2 linked regions of the Stegostoma tigrinum genome follow. The protein of the gene in region 2 binds, or shares a complex with, the protein of the main gene of each other region. Links are inferred from orthologs where the notes say so. Each region holds a gene or a part of one and is shown on either strand. Other genes may lie near its edges. The genes, in order: klhl2 and wnk4a.

Evidence for each region.
Region 1: the proteins of wnk4a (region 2) and klhl2 are in contact, whole or in part, in a crystal structure (PDB 4CHB), measured with the Homo sapiens proteins. The link is inferred for Stegostoma tigrinum from reciprocal best matches to the Homo sapiens genes WNK4 and KLHL2. Residues at the interface, in NP_115763.2 of Homo sapiens: Glu557, Pro558, Glu559, Glu560, Pro561, Glu562, Ala563, Asp564, Gln565; in NP_009177.3 of Homo sapiens: Arg345, Phe361, Gly363, Ser364, Leu365, Arg366, Thr392, Phe408, Gly410, Ser411, Thr412, Gly413, Ser438, Ser439, Tyr455, Ser487, His504, Arg534, Tyr583.

Annotation. Positions count from the first base shown.
Region 1 is NC_081354.1:56,998,951-57,002,865, reverse strand, and holds the start of klhl2 (kelch-like protein 2), read right to left. Parts: upstream 2,546-3,915; 5' UTR 2,382-2,545; coding exon 2,311-2,381; intron 1-2,310. UniProt on the Homo sapiens protein: Substrate-specific adapter of a BCR (BTB-CUL3-RBX1) E3 ubiquitin ligase complex that mediates the ubiquitination of target proteins, such as NPTXR, WNK1, WNK3 and WNK4, leading most often to their proteasomal degradation.
Region 2 is NC_081384.1:15,201,644-15,205,558, reverse strand, and holds the start of wnk4a (serine/threonine-protein kinase WNK4), read right to left. Parts: upstream 2,913-3,915; 5' UTR 2,412-2,912; coding exon 1,791-2,411; intron 1-1,790. UniProt on the Homo sapiens protein: Serine/threonine-protein kinase component of the WNK4-SPAK/OSR1 kinase cascade, which acts as a key regulator of ion transport in the distal nephron and blood pressure.

The sequences.
Region 1 (3,915 bases), on a different chromosome or scaffold from region 2:
CTACCAGCCATGAGTGTGGCGCGATACTCCCCATTTGTCTGGATGGGTGAAGATCCATAAAACTCAAAAACCTTGGCACAATCCAGCCCATCCACCACTTTCAACTTTCACAAGAAACAGGTCATCTGGCCCCTTGAGTCTGCTCCACCTGCCTTAAAACATGCAACAACGTAGCCTCAACTGCCTCACTGGACAGGGAATTTCACAGATTCACAACCCTCTGGAAGTCCGTCACCCTCTTTACTATTATTGCAGAGTGGCTGCAGCATGTTCCATCAATGCAGAGCAGCACAACACCCAGACCCCTTTAAGAGCACCTTCCAAACATAAATTCAACCCAGGTAGAAGGGCAAGGGCAGCAGATAAATAGGACCACAACCACCCTGCTAGATCCACCACCCCCGCCCATCCCGATTCAAAACTATATCATCCAGTCCAGTTGCTGGATCGAAAACCTAGTACTCACTTTTTATTCTTAAACCCAAAAATTTGATTAATGGGGGGGGGGGGGGAAGGAGAAGGGGAGGAGGGCACTTCCTTTCCAAAAGCACCTTGGGTGGCCCTACACCGAGGGCTGCTAACACCACTGCCTTTCCAGGGTAATTACAGATCAGGATCCATTTCTTTTATTTGTTCAGGGGATGTCTGGTTGATTTCACTGCTCCAGAAAAACTGAAATAAAATACATTCTTCCAAACAAGCTTCGCAGAATTGTTCTGGAGGAAGGGTCACTGGACCCGAAATTCACAGGCGCTGCCAGACCTGCCGAGCTTTTCCAGCAATTTCTGTTTTAGTTCCTGTGTTTGCAGAATTGTTTCAGACTTCAACGCAACATACCTCTGTCAGAATATTTCATGCAATTGCCCTCACAAAATTAATATGTTCAGACTTGTATTTGTTACAGGCCTCCAATTTACACCTTTGAGGCAGGTTACGGAGGCCCAATCCATTCGAGTTCCAACAATTGGAACAAGGGATGGTGGCAATATGCAAGTGGAGTAATCATCACTCAGCATATACATACATCTACAACCAGGATCAATGCACAGAAATGAAAGAAAAACGAGCCTATGCAGTTTTGCTTCTGTCTAACCAAAAATCACTAAAAAATGACCTGTAGAATTATACCCAAATTGTAAGATTAGTTAACTAGATCTAGAAGTCACACTGCAGGCATTAATGATATACAACACAATATCGTTCATTCACCCACAGAATCAGTCATGGTACCATTATCTGGTTCAGTTGACAGGAAGAAAAGAAAATCAGGCTATAAAACAAATAATCTATAAATTTATCTTTAACACATACCCAAGAAAGGAAAATATAGGCAGCATTTAAAAAAATACACGTAACACAGATATGTTTACAAAGATAATATTAAAAACTGCAATGTCAAATCTAGCATTGACAGTAGGAATTAGGGAAGATCGCATGCTTCAGAATTAGACAGATATGCTTCTTGTCCCTTAATTCGTCACCTCAATTGTTTCCACTAGTTCAGGTGTTATATTGTTCCAGTGTTACTTTCCCTTTACAATTCAAAATCAATAGTACAACTAAAGCATATGCCCACCATTGTGCCATACTGAAATTGAGAATGGATGCTCTGAATGCAGAAGCATTAAAATTTAACACACTAAACAGTGAAATTTTAGTATCAATGCCACAATACATAACTGTCATTTACACAGTTGCTACTGTAAGAGGTGCACTGATCTTCTCCAAAAATATACATTTTCTTGAGTGTTCGTTCTTTATTGTACTCGTGAAACAATTTTACAGCTCGTCCCCCCTGAAATAAAACATAGCTCAACACAATTTCCTACATTTAATACATCTTTCAACCAAAAAAAAAGTGCAACTATATATGCATCAGAATATTCACTACAGAAACAGCTACCGGACATCATGGGCAGGTGCTCAAATCTCTGACCAACGCCCCCCCCAAAAAAAAAACTAAATTATAACACCAACAGACTTATAACTCTTTGACACTTCCCAATTTTCACTTATTTCTACCCTTTTGCATAGAGTTAAATTGCGGCATTGCTAAAATGCTGAAACAACCGCATTGCTATTTGCTATCAAAAACTCCAGCTTGTGCTTCCCTCGACCCCACTTCAGTTCTCCTGGCATTTGTAAAGTCGCTTCTCCACAAATGTGAGCGGGGAGGCTCCAAGCATGACCCAGACCCTCCCTCTCCCCACCCCCGCCCCCGCCCCCGCCCTAAGCCGGGTTGTCCCTCCTGGCCGGAGTTTCCCCCAGCCCTGCCCTGCCCCTGGCTGTGATTGGAGCTAACAGACTCACATTTGCTGTATCTCCATTGTGTCCTCCGCCTGTTGCCGACTGCGCTGAGTGAGCTCGGCGCGCTGCACCATTCCACTCAGAGGCGCGTGGGATGCTTCCCCGTGCTCCGCGCGCGTTCCATTGTCTGTGCTGTTGCCCGGGCGGTCACTGAGGCAGCCGCTGCTCCGACTGTCTCAGCCTGACCCTTAGGGGAAACCAGGGAGGCGGCGCCTGCAAACCATCTCCTCCTCCAATACCCCACAATGCTCCTCTCCTCACCTCCTCCTTCCACCCTCCCCCACTCCCCGAAAGCTTCCAGTTGCCTCCCAATTCCAACTTTTTTTATTCCGCTTCGACTGTCAAAAGTGATATTCTCCAGGTATTGCCGTACCAGGAGCTCCCTCTGGGTTGGAGGACCTGGAAGAAGCAGCCCTAATATGGGAATTGTAGAGGACTGTATGGCATTGTATCCAGAGCCTGCCTCCAGGTTACCTTTGGCAGTGAATGCTGAACTGCGCTTCATATTTAAAACCATGTACTTTAGAACAAACTGCAGGATTTCTGTACTGAAATTACGTGATTCTGCCAGATTTTCTTTTTAAAAATGCATACAGCAATTGCACATCTAAAGTGAAACCAAAACCGCTCGGCATTGTATTCAATTTGTGCAGCATAAGGTTTCGCCCAAAGCACTTTTTTCGTCACTGGGTTGTTGCTGTACGCCGACACTGTTTCCGTAGCAACTATTTTATTGATTCTGTTGACAACAATAACTTGCATTTCTATAGTGCTATTAGAAGAAGTATACTGAAGAAGTATCAATATCTTAGAGGCTTCTAGGGCCATTGGGGTTTCACAGATAAGGGCTAAAGTTACCATGAAGGTGCTGCGTCCCAACCTTGTCTGAGGCATTGTGATCTTTTTAGTGAATATAAGGAGGTCATTAAGATAGTTCTCATAGAATATGAGTTCCCTGATTGGGGCTGTTAATCTGGTCCAATCAGGGAGCCCTGGCTGAAAAATATAACCAGGAGTGTCAGACGTCCTGTTCATTCTGAGGTCTAGTTCTGAGTGTCAAGTACTCTCCACGTGTGAATGAAGAGTGACTTGGTGACGGGACACTGGCCTCTGTGAAGTTATTTCAGTGGCAACAAGAGAAAAAGAAGTGCACCTGAAGAAATTTGTTCACAACATTCATCTTTGATTTGGGATATGCATTTCTGGCATCATGGCATTATGTGGAAAGTTTGACTTGTCGATCCTGCTGTCAAAGACTGAGACCAGTATGTGGAAAGAATGCATTATTTTTTCTGGGAAAATGACATTGAGGCAGGTAAAAAGCAATGAGAAATTCAGCTGACAGCTTCAGAATCTGCAGCTTTATTGTGGATGTGAGTTTGCTCGCTGAGCTGGAAGGTTAGTTTTCAGACGTTTCATCACTTTTTTTTATTTGAAAAAATATACTTTATTCATAGAATGTACAAAAAAAAACATTTATACACCTGCCCAGTCATGCAAGCCGCTCCAGGTTACCCAGGGGCTACGTACACCAACTAAAGGGGAAAAAAAACAAGCAAACAAGAAAAAAAAACAAAGCGAAGAAAATACTCCGGCAGTCGTCTCCCC
Region 2 (3,915 bases):
AGATCCTTAGAAAATAGGAGACAGGTTTAGTTAGAGGATCTGGATCAGCGCAGGCTTGGAGGGCCAAAGAGCCTGGTCCTGTGCTGCAATTTTCTTTGTTCTTTGTTCTTTAGGACAAATACAAAGTATACCACAAGCAGATCCACACACCACAAGAATAAAAGCTTATGCCAATGGTGGCAATTGACAAAACAGAGTGAACTGGGGAAATATCTTTCTTAACCAATGTTCCACCCATGTCAACTAATAACAGAATGCCCTAATCCTCAAGTGTGTAATGTACCAGATTACACAGCTAAGCCAGCAGACACACTGTACAATAAATGCCCCTCCAACTGACAAGTAAGCTTAATTTATAATACTTGTACCAACAAGTAAGTCAGTGTTAAGCTTAGACTAAGCCTATCTTGTCTTTACACTCATTGATTCAGTCCGAGGGTACATTTATTATGCAATTTTTAGAGATACTGCACAAATTCCCTGGTTTGTCAGGATCTAACTTCAGTGTTATATCAATGTAAGTTTAGAAATGCTGATGCAAGATGGATGCAATGTCCCTTGAAACTACGAGCACCTTTCAATCCCTTCAGCAGCTACCTTGATGAATTGTGTGTATGAAAGCGGCTGATGTCTCTAAATTTTATATTTTAATTGCTGAGAGAGGAGCAATGTTACAGGTACTGTATTGTCACATCAGTTTTTTTTGACAAACTCATGAATAACTGCATTCCTGACTTCATGATATACTTTTAAAATCTGTCCTAGGACAAAGGCCTAGGCTGAGATAGCAGAGCAGAGCATAAAAATAAGTTGCTGCAACCAACCACAGAGAAAATTAACATTAGACATCCTCCTGCAAGACAGTCAGGCATGAGATATTGGGTCTGGATCAGTTGAGGTCATTTACCTTGGAGTCAGGTGGTTTGTGGGTTCAAGCCCATATAATTGGAATTTAAAAAGCTGATTCTTCAACACAACGTGGAGGGTACAAAACAGAAACTGCTGTAAAGCTCAGCAGCTGCGGAGTTTCTCCAGCATTTTCTGATTTTGTTCCTGATTTACAGCATCTGCAGCCTTTTATCATAAAATCCCTACAGTTTGGAAACAGGCTGTTCAGCCCAACAAATCCACACTGACACTCAGAGCATCCCATCCAGACCCATCCCCCTATAACCCACACATCCCTGAACACTATGGGCAATTTAGCATGGCCGATCCACCTAGCCTGCACATCTTTGAACTGTGGGAGGAAACCAGAGCACCCGGAGGAAACCCACGTAGACACCGGGAGAATGTGCAAACTCCATGCAGACAGTTATCCGAGTGTGGAATCAAACCCGGGTCGCTGGTGCTGTGAAGCTGCAGTGCTAACCACTGAGCCACTGTGCCACCCCAAAAGCCTATTGCACCTGATATTCCCATGCAGTCTCCCATCCAAGTACTAATCACGCCACAGCTTCCAAAATCAGGCATTTTCAGACTAGTGTGACCGTAGGCTTTGAATGAGACTTGAAACCTCTGCAGTAAATGGATAACGCCCCTGAAAATCTGGCCAATATTTACACTTCGAATCACAGAAAAAGCCAACATTGCTGCTGCTTGGGGCTTGCTGTGAGGAACTGGCTGCAGCGTTCCCTACGTTGTTGCGGTGACTATGCTTTGACAAAAAAAAACACTTTACAAGTTGTGGAAGTTTCTTGAACAGTATTTAAGCTTTCCTGAGTGACACAATATCCCTGGGTCTTACAGCCTGGGATGTGACGGGCCCGGCGGACTCTGCATCGTTTTACCTGTAACTCGCACCAGGCGACCTCCACCGTGGTCTCGGTATCCAGCCCCTTGTAGACCGTCTTGAAGGAACCTCTTCCCAGCTCGATGTTGAACTTGAGGAACCTGCCGTCGGGGGAGGTGTCGACCGCTTTCATCTCCACCTCGTTCTCCTCCGGTTCCATCTTACTCTCCTCGGGCAGCTCGGAAACCGAGTCCTTGTGAGGAAAGCGGCGGCTGCCATCCTCCGTGTCCGAGCTGTTCGCGACCACCGCCGCCGCAGCAGCAGCAGCAGCAGCTTGGAGCGGCGAGGGCGCCAGGCGAGCCGGCGGGGCGCCGGCAGTGGGTCCGCCCGCCTTTAGCGGCCCGTTCTCAGCGGGCGGCGGGGGCTGGCTATCCGGGACTGGCACCAGGGTTCGGGAAGGGCGACGGACAAGCAGACCGTCAGCTCCCAGCTCGACGTCGACGGAGAGTTTCCTCTGGTACCGGGACGGGATCCTCCTGCCGTCTCTGGCAGGCATTCTCCGCCGCCGGCTCTGCGCTTTACTGAGGTGGGAGGAACGATCCAAATCCAGATCCAGGGTCGAGGTAATGAGCCCGAATCTAGCCAGGTCCACCTCCGCCTGGGACATCGTCCTGGACATGCTTCAACCACCTCCAACAAACTTCGCTCGAACCCCAAGGGAAAGCCCTTGAGGAAAGACTCGCTGACACGGTCTCAAGAAAAGCACAACATTCAACCACAAACATCATCGTGTTTCATGTTGCACCAGCCGCTCCTCGGAAAACATTTGCCTCCTCACTACTTTTATTCTTTCGTTTGCCTGCCCCTTTCAGTCTGTTAGACACTCCCCCCCCATCAGCAATAGAAAGTAACTTAGAGAGGGAAATGAAAAGGGGCTCTACTTTGAATTGACAAGTGCTTAGAGACAGCAGTAATTCCGCTAACGCCTGATATTGCTCTCAGACCGTCCCCGCACCGCCCATTGGCTCAGGGCAGACTGTCGCTAATTTGGATGGGGGCGTGTTGAAACCGGGGTGGGGGTAATGTTCAGTGTTTATTTACTTGGTTCTCCAAATTGCAGGGGGGAAACGAAAGGTAATTTTACTTTCTTTCTCTCTCTCTCTCTCTCTCTGAACCATCCCTTTAAATTCCTACTGTTTTCACACGTGCTGAAAGATCAGTACACAAAGTGCGGAGGGAGTGAAAAGCGTCCTTTAAAGCTGGGCGCGCTCAGAATTTTTTTTCAAAAGGCACTCGGCCAGAAAGAGGCACTGTGTGAAGCAGCAGGATCTGAATGGACAAAGTTCTCCTTTATCGGGCGCAACATTCACTCAGTTCCAGTCACGTCCTCCAGCCGGGCCAGAGGCTCCAGCATGAGAAGCAGAGCTGCTATCAACTCACAACACAGATCGGGGGGGTGCGGTTTGAAGTGTACATATTCTTCCCTTGAGGTTGGGGGGGTTGCTGTTGGATGGCGGATGACGGTATGACGTTACTGGAAGTAAGATCAGGCTGCTTATCACTGATAGAGCATGATCCAGATGGTCTTTATTGTGAGCTCCATGGAGCAGGCTTTGATATTTCAACCAACCTGTTATGACACCGAGATAGTAGGAACTGCAGATGCTGGAGAATCTGAGATAACAAGGTGTAGAGCTGGATGAACACAGCAGGCCAAGGAGCATCCGAGGAGCAGGAAGGCTGAAGTTTTGGGCCTTCACCCTTCTTCAGAGCAGGAGAGAACTCTAACCTGGGCCCCTGGCTCAGAGGTACACACACCACCACTGCACCATTAGTGACTTAAACTGAATAAGATAGTGGATAGTGAGTTTCGAGAAGATTTGTAACTCAGGATGAGTTTCTGGATGTGAGTTTGCTCGCTGAGCTGGAAACTAACCTTCCAGCTCAGCGAGCAAACTCACATCCAGAACATAGTGGATCTCAATAAACACTGTTTTCCAGTCTAAGTGGGAATGTTTATAGCAGAGCAAGTTTTATGACTAACCTACAAAGTGATGTGATTACAGACCTCTGGAGCAGAAAAAAACAGACCTCCTGGCCCAGAGGTTGGGACACTGTGCACCGCAAGAGCCCCTTGTTGATAGCGGAAGGTGATTAGAATCTAATGGAGCAGGGTGTTGGGG